7 linked regions of the Rattus norvegicus genome follow. The protein of the gene in region 7 interacts with the protein of the main gene of each other region in a biochemical or structural test. Links are inferred from orthologs where the notes say so. Each region holds a gene or a part of one and is shown on either strand. Other genes may lie near its edges. The genes, in order: Rabgef1, Ubqln4, Ankrd13a, Zfand6, Gtf2ird1, Cfap36 and Ubc.

What was found.
Region 1: the proteins of Ubc (region 7) and Rabgef1 form a complex in vitro, tested with the Homo sapiens proteins (10 studies listed by BioGRID, with this or other methods). The link is inferred for Rattus norvegicus from reciprocal best matches to the Homo sapiens genes UBC and RABGEF1.
Region 2: the proteins of Ubc (region 7) and Ubqln4 form a complex in vitro, tested with the Homo sapiens proteins (4 studies listed by BioGRID). The link is inferred for Rattus norvegicus from reciprocal best matches to the Homo sapiens genes UBC and UBQLN4.
Region 3: the proteins of Ubc (region 7) and Ankrd13a form a complex in vitro, tested with the Homo sapiens proteins (4 studies listed by BioGRID). The link is inferred for Rattus norvegicus from reciprocal best matches to the Homo sapiens genes UBC and ANKRD13A.
Region 4: the proteins of Ubc (region 7) and Zfand6 form a complex in vitro, tested with the Homo sapiens proteins (6 studies listed by BioGRID, with this or other methods). The link is inferred for Rattus norvegicus from reciprocal best matches to the Homo sapiens genes UBC and ZFAND6.
Region 5: the proteins of Ubc (region 7) and Gtf2ird1 form a complex in vitro, tested with the Homo sapiens proteins (3 studies listed by BioGRID). The link is inferred for Rattus norvegicus from reciprocal best matches to the Homo sapiens genes UBC and GTF2IRD1.
Region 6: the proteins of Ubc (region 7) and Cfap36 form a complex in vitro, tested with the Homo sapiens proteins (2 studies listed by BioGRID). The link is inferred for Rattus norvegicus from reciprocal best matches to the Homo sapiens genes UBC and CFAP36.

The regions. Positions count from the first base shown.
Region 1 is NC_086030.1:32,121,376-32,125,361, reverse strand, and holds the start of Rabgef1 (rab5 GDP/GTP exchange factor), read left to right. Parts: upstream 1-1,186; 5' UTR 1,187-1,387; coding exon 1,388-1,599; intron 1,600-3,986. UniProt on the Homo sapiens protein: Rab effector protein acting as linker between gamma-adaptin, RAB4A or RAB5A. Involved in endocytic membrane fusion and membrane trafficking of recycling endosomes. Stimulates nucleotide exchange on RAB5A. Can act as a ubiquitin ligase.
Region 2 is NC_086020.1:176,313,524-176,317,023, forward strand, and holds part of Ubqln4 (ubiquilin-4), read left to right. Parts: coding exon 1-17; intron 18-2,548; exon of another isoform or gene 2,549-2,577; coding exon 2,578-2,736; intron 2,737-2,833; exon of another isoform or gene 2,834-3,500. UniProt on the Homo sapiens protein: Regulator of protein degradation that mediates the proteasomal targeting of misfolded, mislocalized or accumulated proteins.
Region 3 is NC_086030.1:47,485,657-47,489,954, reverse strand, and holds the start of Ankrd13a (ankyrin repeat domain-containing protein 13A), read left to right. Parts: upstream 1-1,498; coding exon 1,499-1,594; intron 1,595-4,298. UniProt on the Homo sapiens protein: Ubiquitin-binding protein that specifically recognizes and binds 'Lys-63'-linked ubiquitin. Does not bind 'Lys-48'-linked ubiquitin.
Region 4 is NC_086019.1:147,989,599-147,992,321, reverse strand, and holds the end of Zfand6 (AN1-type zinc finger protein 6), read left to right. Parts: intron 1-1,302; coding exon 1,303-1,451; 3' UTR 1,452-2,223; downstream 2,224-2,723. UniProt on the Homo sapiens protein: Involved in regulation of TNF-alpha induced NF-kappa-B activation and apoptosis. Involved in modulation of 'Lys-48'-linked polyubiquitination status of TRAF2 and decreases association of TRAF2 with RIPK1.
Region 5 is NC_086030.1:27,942,746-27,946,245, reverse strand, and holds part of Gtf2ird1 (general transcription factor II-I repeat domain-containing protein 1), read right to left. Parts: intron 1,245-3,500; coding exon 934-1,244; intron 268-933; coding exon 178-267; intron 1-177. UniProt on the Homo sapiens protein: May be a transcription regulator involved in cell-cycle progression and skeletal muscle differentiation. May repress GTF2I transcriptional functions, by preventing its nuclear residency, or by inhibiting its transcriptional activation.
Region 6 is NC_086032.1:107,178,907-107,182,406, reverse strand, and holds part of Cfap36 (cilia- and flagella-associated protein 36), read left to right. Parts: intron 1-2,936; coding exon 2,937-3,051; intron 3,052-3,500. UniProt on the Homo sapiens protein: May act as an effector for ARL3.
Region 7 is NC_086030.1:36,899,088-36,903,299, reverse strand, and holds the start of Ubc (polyubiquitin-C), read right to left. Parts: upstream 2,801-4,212; 5' UTR 2,734-2,800; exon of another isoform or gene 2,171-2,733; intron 1,001-2,170; 5' UTR 998-1,000; coding exon 1-997.

The sequences.
Region 1 (3,986 bases), about 4.8 Mb from region 7:
AGCAACCACATGGTGGTTCACAACCATCTGTAATGAGATCTGATGCCCTCTTCTGGTGTGTCTGAAGACAGCGACAGTGTACCCACATACCTGAAATAAATAAATCTTAAAAGGGAAGAGAACCTAGAAGAAATAAAGGTAGGTGTCATGACTGGCAGCAAAACAACCCTTGAAGAGGTGGGGTGTAGACTGTTCAGCCTGACTTAGTCATCCAGGCTGGGTCAGACTTCGGGAGTCTGATGCCAGGCGGTTTATTGTCTTGCACACTTAAACATGGTGCAGTTTGGAAAACTGTTTCCTGGTGTAATACAGTCCCTGGTACACAAGGAGGCATAATTGAAACTCATCTAGAAGTACGTATCATTTCTTCCAAGATAGGTTGTAGAGACAGGCTACCTGTATTAGCTAGGACAGAGGGGTGTTCTGGCCTGGTCTGCATCACACATTTAGCATAGAGGTCATTTGGGCTGTTAGCCACCTGTGGTCCTGGTTGTGGGAGCTTGGTATGGCCTGGTCCTACAGACAATACAGACTACCAGGCTATTCACCTCCAGTTCCCAGCCTTCTGAATGCAACAAAAGGCTGTATCTAACGGATACGTATTCCTATTAGCACTTCAGTATGTGTGTGTGTTTAAGGTGGCTTTCTCAGTAGTGTGAAATGATGTCTCATTATGGTTTTGATTTATTCCAATTCCTTCAAGTGTTTTCTGACTACTAAATATTTATTTCTAGGTAAGGTTTCACTCTAAGCTAGGTGGGCCTAGAACTTGCAGTCTTCCTGCTTCAGACTGATGGATTACAGGCCTATGCCAACATTCCCAGTCTTTGTTAGTCATTTTGTTTGTTTTTGAGACAGGGTCTTGCAGACTGTAGGACACTTATTTCTCCTTAGGAGAGTTGTGTGTTCTATCTTGTTGGCTTGTCGGTGTTCTTCATATATTTTGGGCTTGACCTTTTCTGCAGAGGTTGGAAATGTCTTTTCCCATTCAGTAGGTGGCCTCTTCACTCTGTTGGTTGCATTGTGTGTTGTGCAGAAGTTTGCTGTTGTGCCATTTGTCTGGTTTTGTTACTTCTATTTCCTGTGCTTTGGCGTGTTGAAGTCTTTGCCAGTGTCAGGAAGCTTTCCTTCTAGGAGTTTAAAGCTTTATGCTTAGGTCTTTAATCCGGTATTAGGCTCTTAAGGTGCTCTGTGTATTTCGGGCCTCAGATGAAGTCTTTCTTTACTGTGGCTGTACTTGAATTCGCCGTGTTGAACTTTGGCGTTTGTACTTTCTTCTCTCCTTCTGTTCTTTCTTTCTCCCCTTATGGCTTGAAGAGCTCAGACTCATTTGAATTTTGCTTCATAAGTGTTGTATTTTAATAGTATGGAAGCAAGTTAATTTTCAATGCTTTCTCACTCCTTGGTTATCAGGAAGAAGATGAGCCTGAAGTCCGAACGCCGGGGAATTCATGTGGATCAGTCGGAGCTCCTGTGCAAGAAAGGATGTGGTTATTATGGAAACCCTGCCTGGCAGGGTTTCTGCTCCAAATGCTGGAGGGAGGAGTACCACAAGGCCCGGCAGAGGCAGATCCAAGAGGACTGGGAACTAGCAGAACGGTAAAGGACCTCACAGGCTATGTGGAGGTGTGGTGTGGTCACTAAGACAGAACCGGCATACAGTCTGTCATGCCCAGGCCTGCTTATCTAGAACCCTCGTCATCCTGTAGACCTGCCGTGAGCGTCACCACTGTAGTGCCTTCTCAAACCTTTCTTCTGGAGTTTTCTGTCCTCTGTTCTAAAAACACTTGGTTTCCACTCTGCTCTAGGAATTGTCTTGCTGGATAGTGATATTTTGTGTGGCTCTCAAATAGGGAAAAGCGCTACATTCCTTCAAACACCCCCCGATTGTCAGTGCTGATGATTGAACCCAGACATGCTGGGTGTGAACTCTCCCTCTGAACTGTATCCATCTCAGCAAGTCCATTTCTTCCTTTCTTTCTTTTTTACCTGTACCCCTCTTCCTTTCTTTATGAAAGATTTTTTAGAAAAATATTTACTATTTTATGCGTATAAATGTTTTGTCTGCATTATGTATGTATGCCTCTGTATATGTGTGTATGTTTGAAATATGTGTGCCTAGTGCCTGTGGGAGTCAGAAAGGATCTCCTGGAAATAGAGTTGCAAGTGACCTTGTGATGTCCCGGGAATTGAACCTTGGTTCTCTGCAGATCAAGTACTCTAAACTTCTGAGCAATCTCTTTGACACCATTGAAGGGTTTATTTGTGTGTGTGTGTGTGTGTGTGTGTGTGAAGGAACTTGGATCCTGTTGCAGGACATTTGATCACACTGAACCCCAAGATTGTTTTACTGAAAATAACTGTTTCTAGTTAAGGTGTGGCTCGACCTTTAGCAAACACCTTTAATCCCTCTGTCTGGAACAGACACACCCTTAGTTCACATCTTTAATCCCAAACAATGAAGGTAAAGGAGGCACTCTTGTTTGACAGTGATGGGTAATTGAGTGGCAGACAAAGTGATAAGTCAGAGAAAGATTTGACAGAATAGGATTTGCCTGACTCACAGGAGACGAGAGAGAGGAAAGGGAAACTACTTAAGGGAGAGACAGATAGTACAGGAAAAGGAGAGCACAGGACAGGAGTGCAGTAGAGTGTGGAGAGCAGTGCAGTAGAGTTGAGAGGGAGAGTTGAGCACCACCGAGAGGGAGAAGGAGAGAGGCAGTTTTACTGGGATAGTTGAACAAAGACAGGTTGAAGAGAGAACAAGTTAGACACAGGTGAGGACAGAACGAGCCAGAGAATGAGAAGGGACCAATAGGTTAGAACAGATTGCCAAAGTTATATGAGGCCAAACAAAGCAATTCAGGAGAGGCTGAGAGGAGGTTGGGGGTGGGGGGTAGATTGAATCAGTCAGCTCGGAGAGGAGTTTGAGCTTGAACAGCTGAGTTGAACCAGACAGCCAGAGTTCAGAAAGAACTAGGAAAAGGTGAGCTTATTCAGCAGCAAGTCTGAGAGGCTGAAAACACTCTAGGCCTAGCTAAGATTGTACAAATGCTAGGAGCTTCCAGGACTAGGCCTAGGCTATCAGTAAGCCTCCAAGATAGCAATTACAACAGGCCAATAAAAGTTACTTTTACAGGTCCTCTGTAAAACAGTATGTGCCCTTAACTGCTGAGCCATCTCTCCAGGCCCTAACATGCACACATTCATATGGTACATAATGTTTATATTAAAAAAAACTATCTTGTTTTGTGAGAGGGGTTATCTCCATGTATAGATGCCAGGGTTTTTTTTTCCTTCAGCCAGATGGGTTTTGGAGATTGAATTTAGGTCATTAGGCTTGGTGGCAAGTGCCTTTTATCTTACCTACTGAGCCACCTTGCTGGGCCTTTAATGGTATTTTGAGGCAGGCTCTCCCTGTATTCCAGGCTGACCTCAGACTTCCTGTGTCATCAAGGGTGACCTTGGACTGGATATTCTTGCCTTTACCCTCCACATGGTGGGAGAACAGATGTGTGCCACCATGCATGCAGCGATGGGGACTGAACTCAGTGCTTTGAGAGTGCTAGGCAAGTTAGCTACTCCTAAGCCTCAAATGTGATATTTCTTTCTGTACTTTCAAAGATTTATTTGTATGTGTATGGTGCCTGCATGTACGTAAGTGCACCACACGTGTTCAGTACCCGAGGAGACCAGAAGAGGGTGTCAGATTGTCTAGAGTTGGAGTTACGGGAGGTGATGAGCTGCCGTGTGGCTGCTGGGAACCAAACCCAGGTCTTCTACAGGTGCAGCAAGTGCCTTAAACCCGGAGCCATCTGTCCAGTGCCTACATTGACTTATGGTATGTGTGAGTGTGCAATGCCACAGCACATGTACGGAGGGCAGAGGACAGCCCCAGTGGTCACTTCTCTCTTTCTACCCTTTGAGCTCCTGGGACTCAACTCCGGAGGCCATGCTGGTGACAAGTGCCTTTACACACTGAGCCA
Region 2 (3,500 bases), on a different chromosome or scaffold from region 7:
CGGAGCTCATGAGGCAGGTGGGTCTGAGAGAAGCTTGGAGGAGGGAGGGCTCTGGCGTCGGTCGGCTGCTCTGAGCTCACTGTTTGCCCATCCTCTTGTTCGCTCGGTTGAGCAAGTGAGCAAGTGTGTTTTGAACACTTGGGATAGTTGTGGACAGACACGGGCCAGCAACTCCTTGACCCTAAGGCAAGTGGGACAGATTGTGGGCAATGCTGGACAACTAGTGACGCCCTGGGAACATCTGCTCCGGGGCTTATAGAAGGTCTTCTAGAAATGTCACTAAGCTAAGACCCAGAGGAAGACAGAGGATGAAGCAAGGAAAGAAAAAGACTGTTGGAGGCCAAGGAACCTCAAAAGGAAGGTCCAAACAGTGTTTGACCCAGTAGCTGAGCATGCCTTGTGGAGAAGGACACCCAGTGGAAATCTTTTTCTTTACTTTTGAGACAGGGTGTAGCTGGACTTTTCTACTTTGTGGGTTCTTCTCCCCCCAAACCTTCCATTTCCCCCATACCCCTGTTTTATCCCCTATCACTAGGTAGGGGAGAAAAAAGACTAGAGGGGAGAAAGAAGTAGAGATCCCTAAATTTAATTTTTCTTTCTTTTTGTTTCTTCTTTGCTTGTAGCTGGTCTCTGCTACCTGTGGTTTCTTCTCCCTCCCCCTTTTATCCATTCCTGCATTTCACCCCTTCTCACTAAATAGGAAAGAAAGAAGGATAGAGAAGAGGGAGAGATCTGTGAATATCTTTCTTCTGTGTCTTCTTTGACCACGACCCCCTGAATGACCAACACCCACCCCACCTAGCACTTATAAACCCTCTGAAAACTTCCCAATGTCACACAATGGCAGAAACTGTCTGCAACTGGCAAAACCTTACACCTCTGCTAGAGCAGGAAGCAAATCACAGGCAGCTGCTGAGAAGCAGCCCCATGGCCCCATGCCTGGGATTACAACAAAAACATATTCTTACACTGTTTCTGTTTTTTTGTTGTTCTTGGTTTTTGTTGGTGGTGGTAGTGTTACGTTTTTTGAGAGAGAGTTTCTTCCGCCTACAGAGGACTAGGACTAAAGGTGGGCACCACCACTAGGCTGTTTCTGTGGTTGTTTTGTTTTAAAGAAACCAGGATTCCAGAGTTCTTACTACAACAGGGTCTCTGTCTGTCCTGGAATTCTCTTTATAGACAAGGCTGACCACAACTCACAGAGATCCTCCTGCCTCTGCCTCCTGAGTGATGGGACTAAAGGCATTTACCAGAACACAGGCTAGGGGGTCTTGCCATCAGGGTTGTGGAGACCTGAGTGACAGCAGGCCCTTAGAGTAAGCTATCAGCTCTAAAGAGGAGATCATCTCTCAGGCTGGAGAGATGGCTCAGAGGTTAAGAGCACTGACTGCTCTTCCAGAGGTCCTGAGTTCAATTCCCAGCAACCACATGGTGGCTCACAACCATCTATAATGGGATCTGATGCCTTCTTCTGGTGTACCTGAGACACTACAATATACTCATATGAATAAAATAAATAAATCTTTTAAAAGGAGAGAGAGAGAGAAGAAGAGAGGCCTCATCCTCAGTGTCACAGACAATTCAGGTTGGCTGAAGACCCAGAAGTGGAGGATGTCTAGGCTGAATTCTCTGCCCAGTTTGATTTACCAGTACTAACAGTGTGGTTTGCTGAGACCTGGCCTAGAAACCTGTTTGTATGATTTACTCCTGTGTGTTAGGGGGAAACAGGTCAGTGATCCTCTCTGACCCCGTTTTCATATTTACAGTAGGGAGACAGGAACACTTACCTGGTTATTGTGAGAAGGGTGTGACTTCAATTTTACATCATTTAGTTGCTCTCAGTGTCAAGCTTTAGGGATGTCATAAAGCTAGTAAACTGCTTTTTATTCCTCTCCCTTGGACTCCTCTCTCCTCCCCTAATCTGTTCCAGCCTTCTAAGACTCCTTGCTTAGAGGATATACCTAGCCTTTCCGGACTCTGATCAAGAGATCATTTATTATTCAATCACTTATCATCCATTGGATATTTATTGGATCATTGTTACGGAACAGGTTCTAGGCGCTTGGTGGGTTGTACTCAGTGCCTCTTCACACCCCCATTTTCTTGTTTTTAAAGATTTATTTTTTATTATATTTAAGTACACTGTAGCTGTCTTCACACACACCAGAAGAGGGCATCAGGTCCCATTACAGATGGTTGTGAGCCACCATGTGGTTGCTGGGATTTGAACTCAGGACCTCTGGAAGAGCAGTCAGTGCTCTTAACCTCTGAGCCATCTCTACAGCTCCCCCAGTTTCTTATGCTCTCTGACATCTCTGGGGGGTCCCCTGAGCCTGAGAGGTGGAAATTGCTACCTAACTCCATCTGGGAACACTGTCCTTCAGTTCAGAAAAGCCACAGGGAGGCAAGGATCAAGCCCAGATTACAGTGGAGGGAGGGATCTGGTTGGCTGTGCTCCCTGCCACCACTGAGTAGTTCCTGCACTCCTTGTGCAGACTCCCTCCCTCCTCAGGTCCCTTTTCCTAGCTTGGTGTTCCTCTGGTTCCAGGGCCCATCTCATATTTTTCCCTTCACCAGACAATGGAGCTTGCTCGTAACCCAGCCATGATGCAAGAAATGATGCGGAACCAGGACCGGGCCCTCAGCAACCTGGAAAGTGTCCCGGGAGGGTATAATGCCCTCCGCCGCATGTACACGGACATCCAGGAACCCATGTTCACTGCTGCCCGGGAACAGGTGGGGCCAGGAGGCAAGCAACAGAGGGCTGGCTGGGTTCAGGCTTCCCTATTCCCAACCTAGGCGTGCCCCAGTGCTTTCTTACTTGTCCAGTCTCCTGTTGGGCGGGCCTTGGCTTGAAGGCATTTCCAGTAGTGCACAGCCAGGGACAGCCAACTTGATGAGGGTAAAGTATAACAGAGGTCCTTAGGGAAGTAGGTAAGATGGTGTCCAAGGAGCATAGTGAATTGTTCCTGATAAACTCTTGCACCAGAGGCTCAAAGGCTCGGGAGCTGACCTGGGGTCAAAAGCTATAGTGAGTGTGTGTGTGTGTGTGTGATATATATTCATGGTTCACCTGCATCCGAATCACTTGGGGGGACCTATCAATAACGGGGTTCCAGACCCTACTTAGGGCTGCTGGTTGGTTAGTCTCTGCAGGCTTTTGTGTTGTTTGTTTTTGAGATCTCACTATGTAGCCCTGGCTGGCCTGGACCAAACCAGGTTGGTCTCAGAGATCCTCCTGCCTCTGCTTTGAGTAAATGCTCAGTGAGCCCTGTTTTTGTTTTATATTTAAGACAAGGTCTCACTATATAGCCTAGGGCATCCCAGAACATGAAATACGCCCAAGCCGGTTTCCCAATTGTTGAGATGTGGCACCATGGTCAGCAGGATTATGTATGTCAAAAAAAGTTATTTTACATGTGTAGATATTTTGTCTACATATTTAAATGTGCACCATATGTATGCAGTGCCTCTGGAGGCCGGAAGAAAGAGTCAGATCT
Region 3 (4,298 bases), about 11 Mb from region 7:
TACGCTGCAGCTCACACGAAAAAAGGGTATAGAATCCCAATGGTCATGAGCCACGATGTAGTTGCTGGGAATTGAACTCCGGACCTCTGGAAGAGCAGTTAATGCTCTTAACCTCTGAGCCATCTCTCCAGCCCCTAGGTGCCGTCTTTATGTCACTGTATCCTGTATTAGCTCCATTCACTCTTCAAGGACTCCAGACCCGAGCAGAATGGACGTGGTCAGTTTTCTTGGACAGCCTTCGCACTCATCTGAAGAGATGGGTTGTGTATATAGAGCCAATAAGGAAGAGGGGGTGCTTTGCAGGTTGCACTGGAGGACTTCGTGGCAGCTGTAAACACCTGGGCAGAGACAGCACTTGTTTCTTCGTTGTGACGAGAAGACACAGTGTCTGAAGTCGCAACCCAAAGGATGAATTTTACTTGTGCATACTGTGGACCAACCTGGATACTCCTCTGGGCCACAATCCTAAATCTGAGTGGTTAGCTTAGTGAGGCTGATGCGGGATAAACCTTCACGGCAAGCACTTTGAATTATAGCCGAGTTGGAAATTCAGACAGAACAGCGGTTTTCAACAGGGCGGTTTTCTTCCTCCAGGGGAAAAAACTGCCCGTGTCTGGAGACAGTTTGGGGGATAGTGTGAGTACTGACAGCATGGAACAGGCGAGCGTCCACCCTAACTTACAAAGCATCGGATGACCTCCGCGCACAGAACCCCCCAGTTCAAACACTGCAAAGTTTAAAAGCCCAGAGACACAACTACCCCGATAGTGAGGGTATCTGGTGTCACTTATCCGGGGTCCAGATCTCCTGTGAACACGATTTCACGCTGCCCACTTCCAAAATGGTTTCCGACCAATCGCGGAAGGCGGCGGCTGAGGGAGGCTCCAGTCCGATGGTTTGGTCCAGGCCTGCGCGTGCACCCCCGGGCGGCAGAGCCGATGGAAGAGGCCCGATTGTGGAGCGCACCACTGGAGAAGGCCGGGCAGGGGACGAGAGTCGGAGGGCGCGCACAGTGGGTTTTGTGCGTGGAGATCTCGGGCTTCCCAAGGGTCCCGCAGTTCCACAGAACGGTGGTGGTCGTGTGTCCAGGCGTGGGGGCTTGGTGGGGCGACATGGAGCGGGACTCGGTCCGTTCAGGAAGTCAGGTCCCCCTCCGCGGAGCGTGATGGAACGCCTCGCGTACTTCCCTGTTCGGGGCGGTTCGGCCGGCAGCAGTCGGTTCGCTAGCTGTCAGCGCGGGCGCGAGCGCGCGGGGCGCGGGGTGGGCGCGGCCGAGCGGGTCCCCGAGCCGGTCCCCAGCCCGGCCCGCGACCCCGGGCCTCCCGCGCCGCCCGCTCCGGACTCGGAGGCCCTTGTCGTCCGCTGCGCCCGGCACTTGGCCGCTCGCCGCTCTCCTCCCCTCGCTCTCCGTCCGGTCGGGCGGGCCCCCGAGACCCCGTCGGGTGGGTCCAGGTTGGTGGCAGGCGGGCGGTCAGGCCTGGGTGGCGACCTCCTCGCCATGTCCTCGGCCCGCGACACCAGCAGCCGCTTCCCGCTGCACCTTCTGGTCTGGAACAACGACTACCGGCAGCTGGAGAAGGAGCTGCGGGACCAGGTGAGGTGCGCGGCGCGGAGTCAGAGTCGGTTCGACTCCCGAGTCCCGGGATCTATCAAGCGCTCACCGTAGACCGGGCCCGGTGCCTTGGGCTTTTGGTCCACTCTCCCCTTTCTGATATCACTAGGAATGAGTGCTTAGTATTCCGCTTGACCGGGAAGGAAATTGAGACCCCAGAGCCTACTTGCCTTGCGCAAGGCGCAAGGCCACCGAGCTAATGAGAACCACGTCGGGATCTTTTATCTCAGGCCGGCTGGCCCGGGAATTCACCTTTAAGCTTTATGGCCTCGAAGACGGAAGAGCGACACACACACACACACACACACACACACACACACACACACACACACACACCCCTTACTCGAAGACGGAAGAGCGACACACACACACACACACACACACACACACACACCCCTTACTCCACCCGCCCTGGTGCTGGGGAAGAGCTTGGTTGGGTTCCGTGGACCGGTTCTAACTCCTGTGACCTTGGGCAAAGCAGTTATGTTCCGGGGCCCACTTTTCCTTACCCATAGGATAAGGGTGTAGGCAGTGATGACGGAAAGCCCAGTCCCTGTCTAAATTGATGGGGCTGGGACGGGGCCTAGGAATCAGTGCTTTTAACGAGCTCCCCAGGGTAGTTGGTTTAAGTGTGAGAGTCTCTGCTGCTCAGTCCTTAGGACCCCCCTGTTCTGAAGTACTTTGGATTTTTGTTGTTGTTGTTGTTTTTAATATTGCCATCTTTCTAAATCAGCGGTTCTGAATATTTGGCAGTGCAAGGAGAAGTTTGGGGCTGTTGTGACATGAGAGGTGGGTACTGTTGGCATGGAGTTGGGTGGAGGCCAGGGACCCCGCTGTGCCCTACAGTGTAAAAGGCAGCCACCCACCCGCAACAGAGTGTTACCGGACTCCAAATGTTAGTAGAGCCTTGGTTGAGAATCTTGGTGTTATATTATTTCGTTTGTTTGGGTTTCTTGGTTTTTCTCTGTTTTTGCTGCAGACAGGGTCTCACTGTGTAACCCCTGCTTAGCCTGGAGTTCACTGTGTAGCCCAGGCTGGCCCCAAACCTGGGTGAGGAGTGGCCTGCTGAAGGCTGAGCCACCTGGATGGAGACTCCTGGCATTAAGGGCGCTGCAGTCATTTCATTAGGTATGGGGTGTCTGGGTTGCTCTCTAACCTGTAGCAAATGAGATAAGGATTTGTAATTACTCCCGAAATCCACCACAATTGTTACTGTAGGCTTCATTCATGTTAGCCTGTGTGTCAGAGGCTTGCTTTTGAATGACTTACCGCTGACTAGTAACTGTTGCGAACCCTTGGTTCTTTTGATTGGTAAACATTGCCTTGCTGCTGTTGGAACAGTTCTACTCGGCCTTGGTTTATAGCTTGCCATATGTATTTTTAGTTGGATGGGCACCATGGGAAGTCAAAAGTCACATTTTAAAAATAAGGATTCCATGGCGGGCATGTCGGCGTACATCAGCAACCCAAATCGCCCAGGAAGTTGAAGCGGGAAGATCTGGAGTTGGAGGCTAGCCTGGGCAACTTGGTGAGGGCCTGTCTGAAAATAAATAAGAAAGGGTGAGACAGCCTGTGGGGCCCGAACACTTTTCTGTTGTGTGGGAGGCCCTGGGTTTCATCCTCAGGTATGTGGGGGATGGGGGTGGGGTCCAGACAGGGCAAGGTTCTGTAAGAGTCATTGTTCTTAATTAGATGACAGGGTAACTACTTAGGATTTAAAGAGATATGACACATGCCCCCAGAGAGGATGATTCACTGCCTGCTATCCCAGTATACCTGCTGATCTAACTCTCACACAGCTCAGAGGCCTTCTCTAGAATCTAAGCTCTTACACCCATCCACAAGCCCCATTCCGGACACTTCAAGAAGTAACCAGTTTTGACTAGATGTGGTGGCCCCCGTCCTGGAGGCCGGGGCAGGAGAATGACAAGTTCAAGGCCAGTCTGGGCAAGTGTGACTCTGTCTCAAAATAAAAATATAAAAAATGCAGAAAAGGACTTGAAGCACCTACAGCTCAGGGTTAGAACATGGAAGGGTTCCGGGCTCCGGGTCGTTCTGCTGAGGACAGTGGTTCGAAGCTCACACACTGTTGAAAGTACAGAGAGTCATGTCACGAGATTAAATCCCATGTGATAGAAAGATTCGTTATCACACCTCGGACTTCAGGCCGGAGTTCTGAAAGCAGCTTTCTCCTCACTGAGGAGGGAGAGCTGTCTGCAAAAGTAAGAGACAGGTCTTGGTCACGATCTCAGCAGTGGCCGAGTCACCGTTTCCTGAAAAGAAAAAAAAAGTGATAAAGGCATGGAAGATCTGTTTTGACCATGTCAGACCTTAAGAGCATTTGTAATTAAAGTTTGGGAACTAAAATCTTTTATTTTTGTTTTGAGACGGCGTTGCCGTGTAAATCTAGGTGGCCTGCAAGTCATCTGTGTAGCCCCGGCTGGCCTCAAACCCTCTCAGTAGTCTCCCTCCTCAGCCTCCCCTGTCCTGGGGGTCATAGGCTTGGCAGGGTTTGGGAATTAAAAAGTCTTGCTGTAGATTCGATGGGAGAAAACTTAAGGTCATTGCTGTCCTTGACTTCAAGGCTGAGAGAGAATGCTCATGTACTTGCCGGTTCTTTGGTCCTCTCGGTTTTGAGGCTGTCCTAATTTAACACAATGGGTCCCTTGACGGTGTAGCACTTGTG
Region 4 (2,723 bases), on a different chromosome or scaffold from region 7:
CGTAAGCCTGGGATTCTCTGGGATTCACTGGAAAGTGGTGCAACTAAAAATAGTTTTGCTGATTTTTTTTATTATTTATTTTGGCATAGTACCAAATACAGGTATAAAAATCAGGTGTATGAACAGAGCACAGTAAGATTTTGAGTGAAAAGTATGCTTCATTGTAGCATATGCTTATAATCCCAACACTTGAGAATTGGGGGCAGAATCAGAAGTTCAAGGCCAACATATGCTACATGACCACCTCTCTCGCAAAAATAGAAGAAAAAAAAATGATACCTTAGGATCTACTTCTTGCTGAAACATGAGTTGGCATTGAGGGAGGAGATTAAAGTATGATGTCAAAGATAACCTAAACTTCCCCATTCCTTCAATATATATTTAATTTAAGATGTACATATTTAATATCAAAGACATCATTTAAAAGTTTCATGAAGTTTCAGACTTCCTGATCACAAGGCTTAGGACTTAGTTTTCATCTAATTTAGCTTTTGATTGCTTCAATTTTCTATTAGTTTCAGAATATGTTTTTAAAGTTAAAAATGTGGTAAAGACAGTGAATGTCAATTGTTGATTAGATATTGATTATTCCTGAGCTCTGTTTTCCCAAATGCACACTAACATAAAAGCAATCACTGTCACTCTGAGTTTCTGAGCTCACAGGGCATAGCCCTAAAATTAAGTAGCTTTTATTGGGTGTTTTTGTATATTGGACACTCACCTGGTCCTTAGAGTAATTCATGACCCCTTAAAAAGTGCATATGTGAGACTTAGAGAAGCTTAGTGAATTGTCTCTGATTCTGAGGATATTGGCCCACAGAAATCTGCTTCAAGGGTCTTCTTCATCTCCCCAGACAGAACTGTTCACTTAGAGAGCTCCTGAGAGCTTAGCAGAGGGGGAAATTAAAGGTCACTCAGCAGCACGTCTCTGGAGTCACTGGTCTGCTGTCAATTAAATGTTACAGTTGTTCTGACAGTAGGCTTGTTTCTACATTGTGTATTTTCAGTTTAAAAATGATCCATTTTCAGTTTAGCAGCCTTTTCCTAGGAAGAAACTGAGCATATCACAAGTGAAGAAACCAGCTTGGAGAAAAAATCAGCCTTGCCCTCGTACAAATAAGTATATGTAGATGGGAGCAAGACAGGAAGCTATCTGATAATGAGTTGAGAATGAAGCTCTTGAAACTTTACAGTATTCTTCAGAGACTTAGAGACAGGGTTACTTAGCATTAACTGTGGGAAGAACTTAATATCTCACGCTCCTGTCTAACCCATGCTGTACACATATTCATCCATTTCCAGGGTTTGAATGCCGGTGTGGAAATGTTTACTGTGGTGTGCACCGTTACTCAGATGTTCACAATTGCTCTTACAATTACAAAGCTGATGCTGCTGAGAAAATCAGAAAAGAAAATCCAGTAGTTGTTGGTGAAAAGATCCAGAAGATTTGAACTCCTGCTGGAATACAAAATCCTTTGACTATCTGCAAACTAAACATTGACTTGAGGTTTTTTTTCCTAGTCCTTGGGAATGTAGAGCACCGTATCTTGCATAGACCGTTGAATCATGCATGTCATCAGAAGAATAGATTTTTGTTTTTGTTTTGAAAATGACTCTGAACATTTATTTCCATTGCAGTTTCTGTGGCTGAAAAGAAGTATTATACTTTTAAGATCATTTTAATTTTAGTTGAGTGCAGAGGGCTTTTATAACAAATGTGGAGAAATTCTGGAGGGCTGTGATTTTTTTCCAGTATTAAACATGCATGCGTTGATCTTGCAGTTTATTTCTCATTGTGTATGTATATATAGCTTTTCTCTGCAGCACGATTCCCTTTTGATAAGGCCCTTCTGGGTACAACTAGTTATCAGTAACTGAATGTATCTTAATCATTACGGCTGCTTCTGTTTGTTTGGTTTTTCATTAACAAAGGTTATACATATGTTAGCATATAGTTTCTTTACATCCACTATTTATGTTTGAATCATTTGTCACAGCAGAATATGTGCTGACGAGATTCTAAATTTGTGGCTTTCGGTTCCTTTTTTTTTTAAACAAGGGAAAGAAAAGCTGAGTGCATTTCACTGCTGACTGCAAGTTTCTTTGCGATTACTGTTCATTGGTCTGTGTGTGCACAGTATGAAGAATGATCTGGTCATTGTGCGGTATTTATGTTTATTCACCAGTCTTTGATTAAATAAAAAGGAAAACCAGAAAAAAAAAGTGCTACTTTTCCCTCTTCTTTCTGGTAGTTATTTGTCTTGTTAAATCTTTTAGGGCTTTGCTTTCCTAATATGGTAAGAGCACCACTATTACTTGTCTCACCTCTAGTTATGACTTAGGTGTTATGACAAATTATATTCCTGTGAGTGAAGACATTAGAATAGTTTCAAAGCCAAGTAACTTGGATGTGATATACTTTGACCCTCATCTGACTGTCCTGCACTCTTTTACACCAAATTAAAATCTAATGAGCTTCTTTACTTTGTAGGATTAGAGGCATTCAAATTGTGTCAGTAGGAGAATTATGTACTAGAAAGACCCTACAAAGACCTATTTGTCCTCTGGCTTCCAAACTTTTCTAGAAGTTAGCCTGCTTAAAAATAACAATGGTTGTACTTTACAGTACAAATTTCTTGATGGAAAAATGTTTAATTTTAATAACATATATATAATATGATTTAGTGTTAAAAGTATATATTCTGATCACATGAATAAATTTA
Region 5 (3,500 bases), about 9.0 Mb from region 7:
AAATCAGGCTGAGCACCAGCAATCATCTCTTTTCTGTTCTTTGCATGACCACCCAGCACAGCAACAAGAAAAACTAACACAACGACCTCGACCCACTGTGGGCGGTACCATCCCACATGCTGAAACCCCAGATTAATTTATACATATATAAATAAGCCTACCTGACAATAAGCCTACCTGACTTGTCGTGGACGATGGAGAAGAGGATACGCTTGGAAGCGTGGACATTCTGGATGAGAGGCCCAGCAGGCCCTGCAGGCGCCTGTCCTAAACAAGGGGGACAGAGGCATACATTTTAGAGGGGTCCCACCTACTCGAGAGAAACTAGAACTGAGCCCCACGATCATGAGGCCCGACCCCTAATGACAGCTCTTAGCTGCAATCTGTGTCAGAACTGGCTATCCAGAGGTGGGCGTCATGACAGAATCTTACCCCTTTAATTACACTTATTTGTCAACTTATAGAGATCAGAGGACAACTTGTGGGAGGCCGTTCCTCTCCTTTTATATATGGGTCCCAGGAACTGAACTGAGGTCGTCAGGCTTGGAGACAAACGCCTTTAGCTAAGCAAACACTAAACTGAGCCACATCCCAGCACCCAAATCTGAAATGTCTGGTTGAGGAATCTTGATCCCAAGTATCTTCAATAAAGGATACTCGGGCTCATATTCTCATTCCCATTTTACAAATGAGGAAACTGAGGCTCAGTGAGAGGCTTGCCCTGTCACGCACAGCTAGGATAGAGCCTACTTCTTCATACTCAGCTGTTCCTTGCACTTGCCTATCGAGCCCATGCAAGCAAGGTCTGTGGATGCCCAAGTTGAACTGGGTCCCCACAGAATGCAACTGGCTAAACCCCACCTGTGCCCAGAAATACCTCCTCCTTAGAGGTAACCACCCAGAGAGACATGTAGGTCCCCACTACAGCATTACCACAGCAATCAGAGAAATCTTGGGTGCTGGGGACATGGGGCTCAGGCACAGGCCAGCCCAAGCCCAGGTCGCTGGGGGTCAACGGGCAGGTTGGCACCTCCTGCTTGAGTTCCCGGATGGTGTGGTTGGGCATCGAAGTGCTGTACAGGAAGTTGGCCATGGAGGATGGGGTGGCGGTGGGGGTCAGGTCTTGGGGAGAGACCTTGGAGGCCTGGCCATGCAGACCACAGTCTCGGGACCCCTTGGGTAGCAGAGAGATACCGTTCATCTCCACCAGCGCCTTTGTGTCCTGCCCACCGTCATCAGGAGGCCTGAGTGGAAGAGAAGAGATGGGGACTTCTCTAAATACCTATTCTCGCTCTGTAAATCTCACCCATCAGAGACCAAGTAATGGGGTAGGATGGAAGCCAGGCCCACTTTGTGGGGACAATGAGCCTGATACCAAATGTCAACCACTGGATGACCCAGGCCCACACCAAGCCTGCCTCAGTGCTCCAAGCCACCAATCTCATCCTCCACCTGGCTCCCTCCCATCCCATCTGTCCCTCCTGCTCATGCATTGCTGGGGAAGATAGAGGCCCTGGCTATGCTGTTCCCATGGGATCCACCTTGAGCCCAGCCTCGAATTCACCTCCCATCAGCCTCTTAGGAATCTCATTCATGGCCCAAGATCACACGTAGGCCATTTTGTTTCCTCAGCTCAAGGCATTTACATTTAATACATGTTTTTGAGGCAGATTCTCATTTAAGCAAGGTAGCCTCAAACTCACTGTGGTGGTTTGAATATGTCTGGCCCATGGGAAGTGGCACTACTAGGAGGTGCGGCCTTGTTGGATAGGGGTGGCCTTGTTGGAGGAACTGCGTCACTGTGTAGAGAGGCTTTGAGTCCTCCTAGTCCTCAAGCTCTACCCAGTATGGAAGAGATTTCCTTCTGGCTGCCTCTGCATCAGGGCGTAGACCATTCACTTCTTTCTGGAACATCATATCTACCTGGGTGATGCCCTGCTTCCCACCATGATGATAATGGACTGAACCCCGTTAACTGTAAGCCAGCCCCGATTCAATGTCCTTTACAAGAGTTGCCTTGGTCGTGACGTTTCTTCACAGCAATGAAACCCTAACTAAGACAGACGCTGGCACTAGATTATTGCTATGATAGACCTGACTATGTTTTTGTTTGGAGGAATGTGGATTTGGTGGGGACTTTGGATTATGAAAGCAGTGGATTACTTTAAGTGGGGCTTAATGAGCTGTCCTCGTAGAAACATGGAAGACGGTGGTACTGAGGGAGATTTGAACAGTGTGGGCCTGGCTCAAGAGGTTTCAGAAGAAGAGAACTTTAATGTGTGGCCTAGAGGATGTTCTTGTGATGATTTGATAAAGAATGTAGCTGGTTTTTGTCCTTGTCTGAATATCTGCGTGAGGCCAAGGTGAAGAGATTCAGATTAACTGCATCGACACAAGAAACCTCAAAAAGCCTGGTCTACACTTTGTCCTGTGGTTGACTCTTTTTTTTTTTTTTTTTTGGTTCTTTTTTTTTTTTTTTTTTTTTTGGAGCTGGGGACCGAACCCAGGGCCTTGCGCTTCCTAGGCAAGCGCTCTGCCACTGAGCTAAATCCCCAACCCCCTGTGGTTGACTCTTATGAGGAAGATTTTTTTGATCAAGCATAGCAAGGTTAAAGAGGAAAAATATAAAATGTATGGTTTAAAATAAAATATATATAAAATATAAAATATAAAGTTTAAAGGGGCACCAGGAAGCGGAATGTAGCTAAGCCCTGTGTTCAAGGATATTAAATAGAATTGAGGGAGTGGTAACTTCAGGCAAGAACCCACCCAGCTAAGCTTTATTGATACCTTTGCAGTTGAGCAAGGGACAGTTATATCACGTTAGGGGTTATTATAACCTGGTTATTGTTTTCATTTGGAGATATGCGTCTGTGTCAAATTGACAAGGGATGGATTGTGACCGCTCTTCTCCATTGCCAATGTGACTACATGTGGAATGAACTGTAGTTCAGAACTTATAAAGATCTTGTGAAAAGGGAAAAAAAAAAAAAAAAAAAAAAAGCTTAGGGCCAGGCATGGTACACATGCCTTTAATCCCAGCGCTGAGACAGAGTCATGCAGATCTCTGAGTTCAAGGTCAGTCTACAGAGCAAGTTCCAGGACAGACAACCTTAGGCATCGAAGGAGTTGGAAAACAGAAAGCTGGTGATAATGTAATAGAACAAGGGGGCCATGTCCCAACCCCAGCAAGCAGCTTCACCCATGTGGCTCTGTTTTGTTTTGTTTTGTTTTAAGATGTATTCATTTATTATATATAAGTACACTGTAGCTGTCTTCAGATACACCAGAAGAGGGCATCAGATCTCTTTACAGATGGTTGTGAGCCACCATGTGGTTGCTGGGAATTGAACTCAGGACCTCCGGAAGAGCAGTCGGGGCTCTTAACCACTGAGCCATCTCTCCAGCCCGTGGCTCTGGTTTTAGAGTCACAAATAGAGAGGACTACTGGGACAATTAATGCTGGTTAGCCTAAGAAATTTAGTGGTGATTAAGAAGAG
Region 6 (3,500 bases), on a different chromosome or scaffold from region 7:
TCTTTTTCTTTTTCTTCATTTTGGTTTTTCTCTGTAGAGTCCTGGCTGTTCTGGAACTTATTCCATAAACTTACTCAAGGCTGACCTTGAACTCACAGAGATTCTTTTGCCTCTGCCTTCTGGGTGCTGGGATTAGAGGCATGTGTGTGTCACTATTGTCTGACTGATTAATCTTTTAAGTAGTCATGATTTATCTATTTATATCATCTTGTCATCATACTGTGAGTCTTGGCCAACTGTGGTCATCAAGTTTGGCCACAAAGTTGTTACCTATTTCTTCATTCTTTGAATGTTTGTAGTTGAACAGTGATAGTTCTTCTTACATTTTTTTTTTATATATCTGATCATACTGTGAATTTTAAAGTATGGTGTTAGCTGTGGTTTTTGTTTTCCTTTTGTTTTCTTGAGATAGGGTCTGGAGTAGTCTAGGCTGGCCTCAAAGTCACTATGTAGCCCAGATTGCCTTTTTCTTAGCTGGGTCAACAGTCCATCAATTTCAACAAGCATTTAAAGAACCAGAACACTGGCTCAGCAGAGAGCTCTTTTCGAGGACCTGAATTCTGTTCCCAGCATTCACATTAGGTGGCTTACAACAACTATGATTCCAGCTCCAGGGGCTCTCACATTCACAGAGTTACAAATAATGAAAATAACACTTTAAAAAGACCAGAACAATTCCTTTTATGCTTACTGTTCAGATTATAAAATGTTACTTAATTCATTTAATATTTGTGAATTAGTTATTATTATATTTGTTTTATTCAGAAGCAAATGTTTTAAAAAAGATTTTATGTGTACTGTGTATATAGTGCCTGCTGAGGCTAGAGGAGGGCATTGGATGCACTGGAACTGGACTCACAGATGGTGTTAACTATAATATGGATGGTTGGAATTGAACCTGGGTACTCTTACTTGTGGAGCCATCTCTCTAGGCCCCAGAGACACATTTTTATATCATAATATATTTAAAATGAGATTGTTTTGCATAATTAATAGTGTTATTTAACTGGTAGTTTTTCTAAGTGATATATAAAGCAATGTCCTATTTTATTACTTTTCAGAATCCTAGAGTCCATGAAACACTACATAAATTCTGTGTTATTTTTATTGATGCTAAGGATTAAATGATATCCAGGGTCACAGATCCACTAGTGCCTATAGTTAAATCAGATGTAGGCTTTTGATATCAAGCTTCTTTTCCTTCCATGATATGCCAATGTTTCTTAAACTTTAATGCTTTAAGAGTTACTCTGTGGAGATATGTGGGCATACATCCTGTAAAGCTTATATAGTTTTTAATGTCTAAAACAGGGCTCAGGAAAATGCTTTATTAACAATCATTTTTCTTGGATTTATTAAGTAGGGTCAAAGGTCACAAGTACAAATTCAATCTTTAAGAAAATTTGTGCGACATATTGCTATCAACAGCAGTGCCCATAGTTGAGTGTGGTGGCTCAGACCTGTAATCCCAATACTTTGTCTCAGGAGGCAAATTATAATTGAGTTTGAGGCCAACCTAGGCTACAAAGTGAGACCCTGTTTCAAATGGCCAAAAGTTCGATAGAATAGCAATGCCATTTTAAAAGTTAGATAAAGTACTTGTTGTTAGTATTAGGCCAGGATGCCCAACCCCCAAAAGGGGATTCAGACAGAAGCTGCCCATATTGGTTTTAGCACTCTCAGTTCAAGTTTGCCATCCCCTGCCTTGAGATTCCTGAAAACCTCAGCAGAAGTTAAGGAAGTATTTTATATTTTTCTTCATAGTGTACTCCTTGAAGGTGCCTCTGAGAACCACTCTTGCCTTTACCCTTGTTATACTGCACATCTAGAATGTGTTGAACTGGTTTGGCTGCTAGAGGAAGGGCTCATCTGTTTCAAGGGGAATTCTTTGATGAGCTGTCTTGTCGGTGTTCTTTGTAAGAACATCGCCTTTGCCTTCTAGGACACAGTACCTTCTTGGTTACTTCTGCATGATTTTGTGTGGTCAGCTTTTCCATTCATCTCAGGTAGAGCTGACAATTAAATTCTGATAAGACAAGATAAGACCTGGGTGCTTCCTTTGGGTATTTCCATGCACTTCACTCTTATTCTGCTCATTAATTAGCTTAGGAATTGGCTTGTTCTTGGCAATGTGTAACGTTACTAATAGTTAAGGAAATATTTATATATGTAATCTATTGATAGATACTTTTATTATTTTTTTAAAGATTTATTTTTATTTTATGTGTAAGGGTGTTTTGTCTGTATGTATGTCTGTGTACCACATGTATACCTGATGCCCTCAGATTGAGTTACAGATGCTGTGAGCCACCACCGTTTGGGTGCTAGGGATTGAACCTGATGCTCTGCAAGGGCAGCGATCTTTGTTATCCAGCCATCACTCCAGCCTCACTTTTATTCTTCACTTACTATACGTTTTATAATTCCTAATCTAATATAATCTCTGACATATATTTTTTTTTCTTATAAGACCCTAATTTTTGTTTATTTCCTGAATCAAACCCAAAGTAAATTTCAGGAGATAGGATATAATTGGGCTTTAAAACTCAAACCAGATGGTCATGTTTTCCATTTAACACTACCTGGTTTGGAGAAGGAGCCTACCTGTCTCACTCCTGGAGACTTGCAGGTTGAGTGAGGTAGCTCCTGAGAACCTTATTTTAAAGGCTTAAAAATAAAATCATAGCAGGGTATAGCTATGCACCCTGTAATCCCAACACTTAGGAGGCCAAGGCAGGAGAATTAGGAGTTTGAGGCTACATAATGAAACCCTTTGTTGTGTATTTCAATCTTAAGATTGTCTATTTGAGTCACCTAACCATCATAATGATGTAACATCCATGAATTAATATGCTGCTTTTCAGTGGAAATAATTTGAATGTGGGTTAAACAGTTTCCAAACTTAAATCATTTAACCTCCAGACTTCCTCCCACAGGCCATTTTGCAGCCTGTGTTGGCAGCAGAAGATTTTACTATCTTTAAAGCAATGATGGTCCAGAAGAACATTGAAATGCAGCTTCAAGCCATCCGAATAATCCAGGAGAGAAATGGTAAAATACTGAAGTTAGGAATCTAAGTACTAACTGAATTTGTTTCTGAAGTTTGATTTTTTTTCTAACAGTCTTAAAATAGTTGGCTACCTTTTATGCATTTATTTCAAATGTGAAAGTGTTTGTAAAAGATTTAAGAATATAAATTTCCTAATTTAGCATATGGCATCTCAAACAAAGAAGACAGTTTGACTTACTGACACTGTAGTCTTGTGAGAGCTTACTCTCCTGCTCAGCCGTTGTGCTAGTTAAGTGTTGTGTCTGTTGTTACTGTTATGAGCAGGTGACGGTGACTACTCTTCTGCTTGTCACTATTAAGACCTTAGTAGGAAATGGTTCTCTGGTGTCAGTAAGCATTGGGTCAGCCATCATGGGTCTGGGGTGGGACATAGTCATCTGTGTCTTAAACAGGTTTCCAGGTGTTGCTGGACCTGTTGATCCTGTCCACA
Region 7 (4,212 bases):
TTGCCTTGACATTTTCAATGGTGTCACTGGGCTCGACCTCCAGGGTGATGGTCTTGCCTGTCAGGGTCTTCACAAAGATCTGCATGCCCCCTCTGAGGCGAAGGACCAGGTGCAAGGTGGACTCCTTCTGGATGTTGTAGTCTGACAGGGTGCGGCCATCTTCCAGCTGCTTGCCTGCAAAGATCAGCCTCTGCTGGTCAGGGGGGATGCCCTCCTTGTCCTGGATCTTTGCCTTGACATTTTCAATGGTGTCACTGGGCTCGACCTCCAGGGTGATGGTCTTGCCTGTCAGGGTCTTCACAAAGATCTGCATGCCCCCTCTGAGGCGAAGGACCAGGTGCAGGGTGGACTCCTTCTGGATGTTGTAATCTGACAGGGTGCGGCCATCTTCCAGCTGCTTGCCTGCAAAGATCAGCCTCTGCTGGTCAGGGGGGATGCCCTCCTTGTCCTGGATCTTTGCCTTGACATTTTCAATGGTGTCACTGGGCTCGACCTCCAGGGTGATGGTCTTGCCTGTCAGGGTCTTCACAAAGATCTGCATGCCCCCTCTGAGGCGAAGGACCAGGTGCAGGGTGGACTCCTTCTGGATGTTGTAGTCTGACAGGGTGCGGCCATCTTCCAGCTGCTTGCCTGCAAAGATCAGCCTCTGCTGGTCAGGGGGGATGCCCTCCTTGTCCTGGATCTTTGCCTTGACATTTTCAATGGTGTCACTGGGCTCGACCTCCAGGGTGATGGTCTTGCCTGTCAGGGTCTTCACAAAGATCTGCATGCCCCCTCTGAGGCGAAGGACCAGGTGCAAGGTGGACTCCTTCTGGATGTTGTAGTCTGACAGGGTGCGGCCATCTTCCAGCTGCTTGCCTGCAAAGATCAGCCTCTGCTGGTCAGGGGGGATGCCCTCCTTGTCCTGGATCTTTGCCTTGACATTTTCAATGGTGTCACTGGGCTCGACCTCCAGGGTGATGGTCTTACCAGTTAAGGTTTTCACAAAGATCTGCATTGTCTATGGAAAAAAAAACAAAAAACAAAAAACCAAAAAACAGGTCAGGAATGACACAAATTCTTTAGAGTGCCACCAACCGTTGGATCTGTGAGGTGGCTAGTAGTTTAGTCTAAATAGCTACACAGACTGTTTTGAATTTTACCCCCTAAAACCAACAAGAAAATAAAAGTCTTGATGGAACAAAGTTATGAATATTAGGCATTGTCTATTACCAAGTTGGCAGGGTGGAGCGTTCAGTACGGAACTGCTGAAAGTCAGTCCCTGACTATTTGCAGTTTGGAGAAAAGCCTGACCCACATTTCACCTTGGGGGAGGGGGGTTTAGGAGGACCCACTCCAAAGAAGTCAGAAACTCAAGAGCTTAGAAGGCAATAGTTGGAAATCCCGGATTCAGGTCCCGACTGGTAGATAGAGCCAGTTACTACTACAAAACTGAACTATGTTCATATCTTTCCTCCCAGCACTGGGGACACTGAGGTGGGCAGATTTCGTGAATTGGGAGGTCAGCCTGAGACAGTGAGATCCTGCCTCAACTCTCCTTCCCCCAAGCTTTTGTCTGAACAATTAAACAGTAGTTTACTCTTACTCTTATCCTCTTAACCTCTTACTTTCACCCCATCTGTCCCTTCTCTCCCCATTCTCCTCCCTGCTCTCTCTCCACATGTTCCGACCAGCTTTACTCCCTCCTCAACTCCCCTTCCCATGCCCTGAATAAACTCTATTAAAAAAAAAAGTAGTCTGGGGTAAGTGGCACTGGCCTTGGACCTCATCACATGGGTGGTAGAGGCAGAGATTTTTTTAAAGTTTAAAACCCTTGTCAGGCTGGTAAGATGACTCAGTGATTAATAGCACTGACTGCTCTTCCAGAGGTCCCGAGTTCAATTCCCGGCAACCATATGGTGGCTAACAACCATTTGTAATGAGATCTGATCACACCTCTTCTGGTGTGTCTGAAGAAATAAATCTTTTTTTTTTTTGGTTCTTTTTTTCCGGAGCTGGGGACCGAACCCAGGGCCTTGCGCTTCCTAGGCAAGCGCTCTACCACTGAGCTAAATCCCCAACCCCTGAAGAAATAAATCTTAAAAAAAAAAACACCCTTGTCTAATAAATAGTTTCCGCAGCCATATCCGTGTAGCGAGACAAGGAAAGACTCAATGTAAGTCAGGCTCACGTTCCCCCTCTGAATTTCCGGTTCCTGTTTACTCTGGAGAGGCTACCCGAGGCCGAGACCCAAACCCGGTCCTACAACTGAGGGAAAGCTAAAGCCATCGTCACTATACACTGTGAGACCACACAAACCGCGACGTCACAGGGGCGATAGGCTAGGCTGGACCGCCACCCTCCCCCTCCCTTCCCAATCGCACTCCTGTATTTAGCAACCGACGAATTCCGGATAACCGACATCTCCCTCCCGTCTAATACCCACAGTTCTCACATCAGAGGCTCCTACAGCGCGCCAACCGAATTCAGTTCCCAACCCAAGCCTCTGACGTTCCCGGCTTAACCGGCGGCAAGCGGCCTCGCGGGCCTGCTTCCCCCAACCTGGTCCAGCGCGTCAGGACCGCGCGTCTTCCCCCTCAGGCTTCCATTTGGCCGCCATCTTGCCGCCCGGTCCTCGGCCTCAGGACAGCAGCCGTCCTCGCGGGCCACGGAAACCAAACGTCCGGGCCGCGGGCTGTCTCTCGCCCCCTCCCGCCTCCCCGCCCCCGCCGGGTGTGGCGGCTTTCTCCTCACCAGCGGTGTTGGCTGCAGTCCTCACAAAAGAGTAGAGACGGAACTGGCGGTCTCCACGGAACTAGCTGCGGGACGCGAGGCGTCTCTTTATATAGTCATCGGGAGCCCCGCCCACCCCTGGATTCCTCCGCGGAAATGCGGTTGGGGACTACTTTTTAATGCCCGGTCCAATCTCTGCAATGGAAGCGACAGGCTAAAACCATTAAGATCGCTTCATGGGGTTGTTCCACTGCGAAGGCCAGAGAGTGAGGGGCTTTGTGTGGAGGGGCAGGACTGCGACCTTGCGCGACCCCGCGGAGGGATCAGCGCCTGTGACGTGATCGGCGCTAAAACCCGGCAGGGATCACTGCAGCCGGAGCGGACCTCGGCGCAGGCGCACTGTGGCTAAGCGAGCCGGAGACCCACCAACTACCCCCCACCCCCTCCGTCAAGGGTCCCAGTCGCCTCTTTCTGTTAGGGGGACCTAGGGCTTTGGCTCTTGTTACACTGATATTCCATTGGTGGCCTCGGCTCCTAAGTTCCCTCACCTCGAGTCGGTCGTCACTGTGCCCAGCCCTCTTTGTTTTGGCACGGTGACAGGATGGATGACTGTGCAAATCTCATAACAAGGGAAATGACAACGGTTTTTTTTATTTTTTATAAAAAAAATGGGGGGGGGGGGGATCTCTCCCCAGTTTGGGAAAACGAATCTGAATTCGTCAAGAAAAGCAGTCAGTCCTCACAGTTCTTGAAAACTGTTGGCATTAGATCTGAAGCCCAGTGGGCACTAGATCTTTCCAGATTCTTCCTAAGTCTGTTTATGTCTGGTGTCCTTGGATTCGAGAAGGTTCTGTTTTCTGTTCGATTGTCACTAAGGAAAGGTCAAAATATCAAAATGTTGTTCATATTCTGAGACTGAACCCATCGAAATCCTATTTTTTTAATTTTTGTTGTTCAGACAGGGTTTCTCTGTATAGCCCTGGCTGTCCTGGAATAGGCTTCGTAGACCGGGCTGGTCTCAAGTTTACAGAGATCCTTCTGCCTCTGCCTCTAAGTGCTGGTCTACAGGGCTACACAGTGAAACCTCGTCTTGAAAAAAACCAAAACCAAACAAAAACCCACACACACACACAAAAAGTACACGTTTAGTACAATGTTCAGATTACAGCAAACATATACCCCACTTGTAAAATTCAGCCTATTCAGGTTTTTGAAATGTAAGGCCTGAGACCTTAGAAGGTAAGAATTGAATCCCTAGGGTAGAGAGATGGCTCAGCAGTAAGAGCAGGTCTTCTTCCAGAGTTCAATACTGAGCAACCCTGTCAGGCAGCTAGCTTACAAAGGCCTTTGACTCCAAAGCTTCTCAAGGCTTCAAGGAGGTCCAATGTCCCTAGGGGCACTCACATACATGTAGCATGCACACACACAGACACACACACTATTAAATGCCTTTAATCTCAACCTTTTTCTTTTTTGAGATTTTTTTTTGAGACAGGGTCT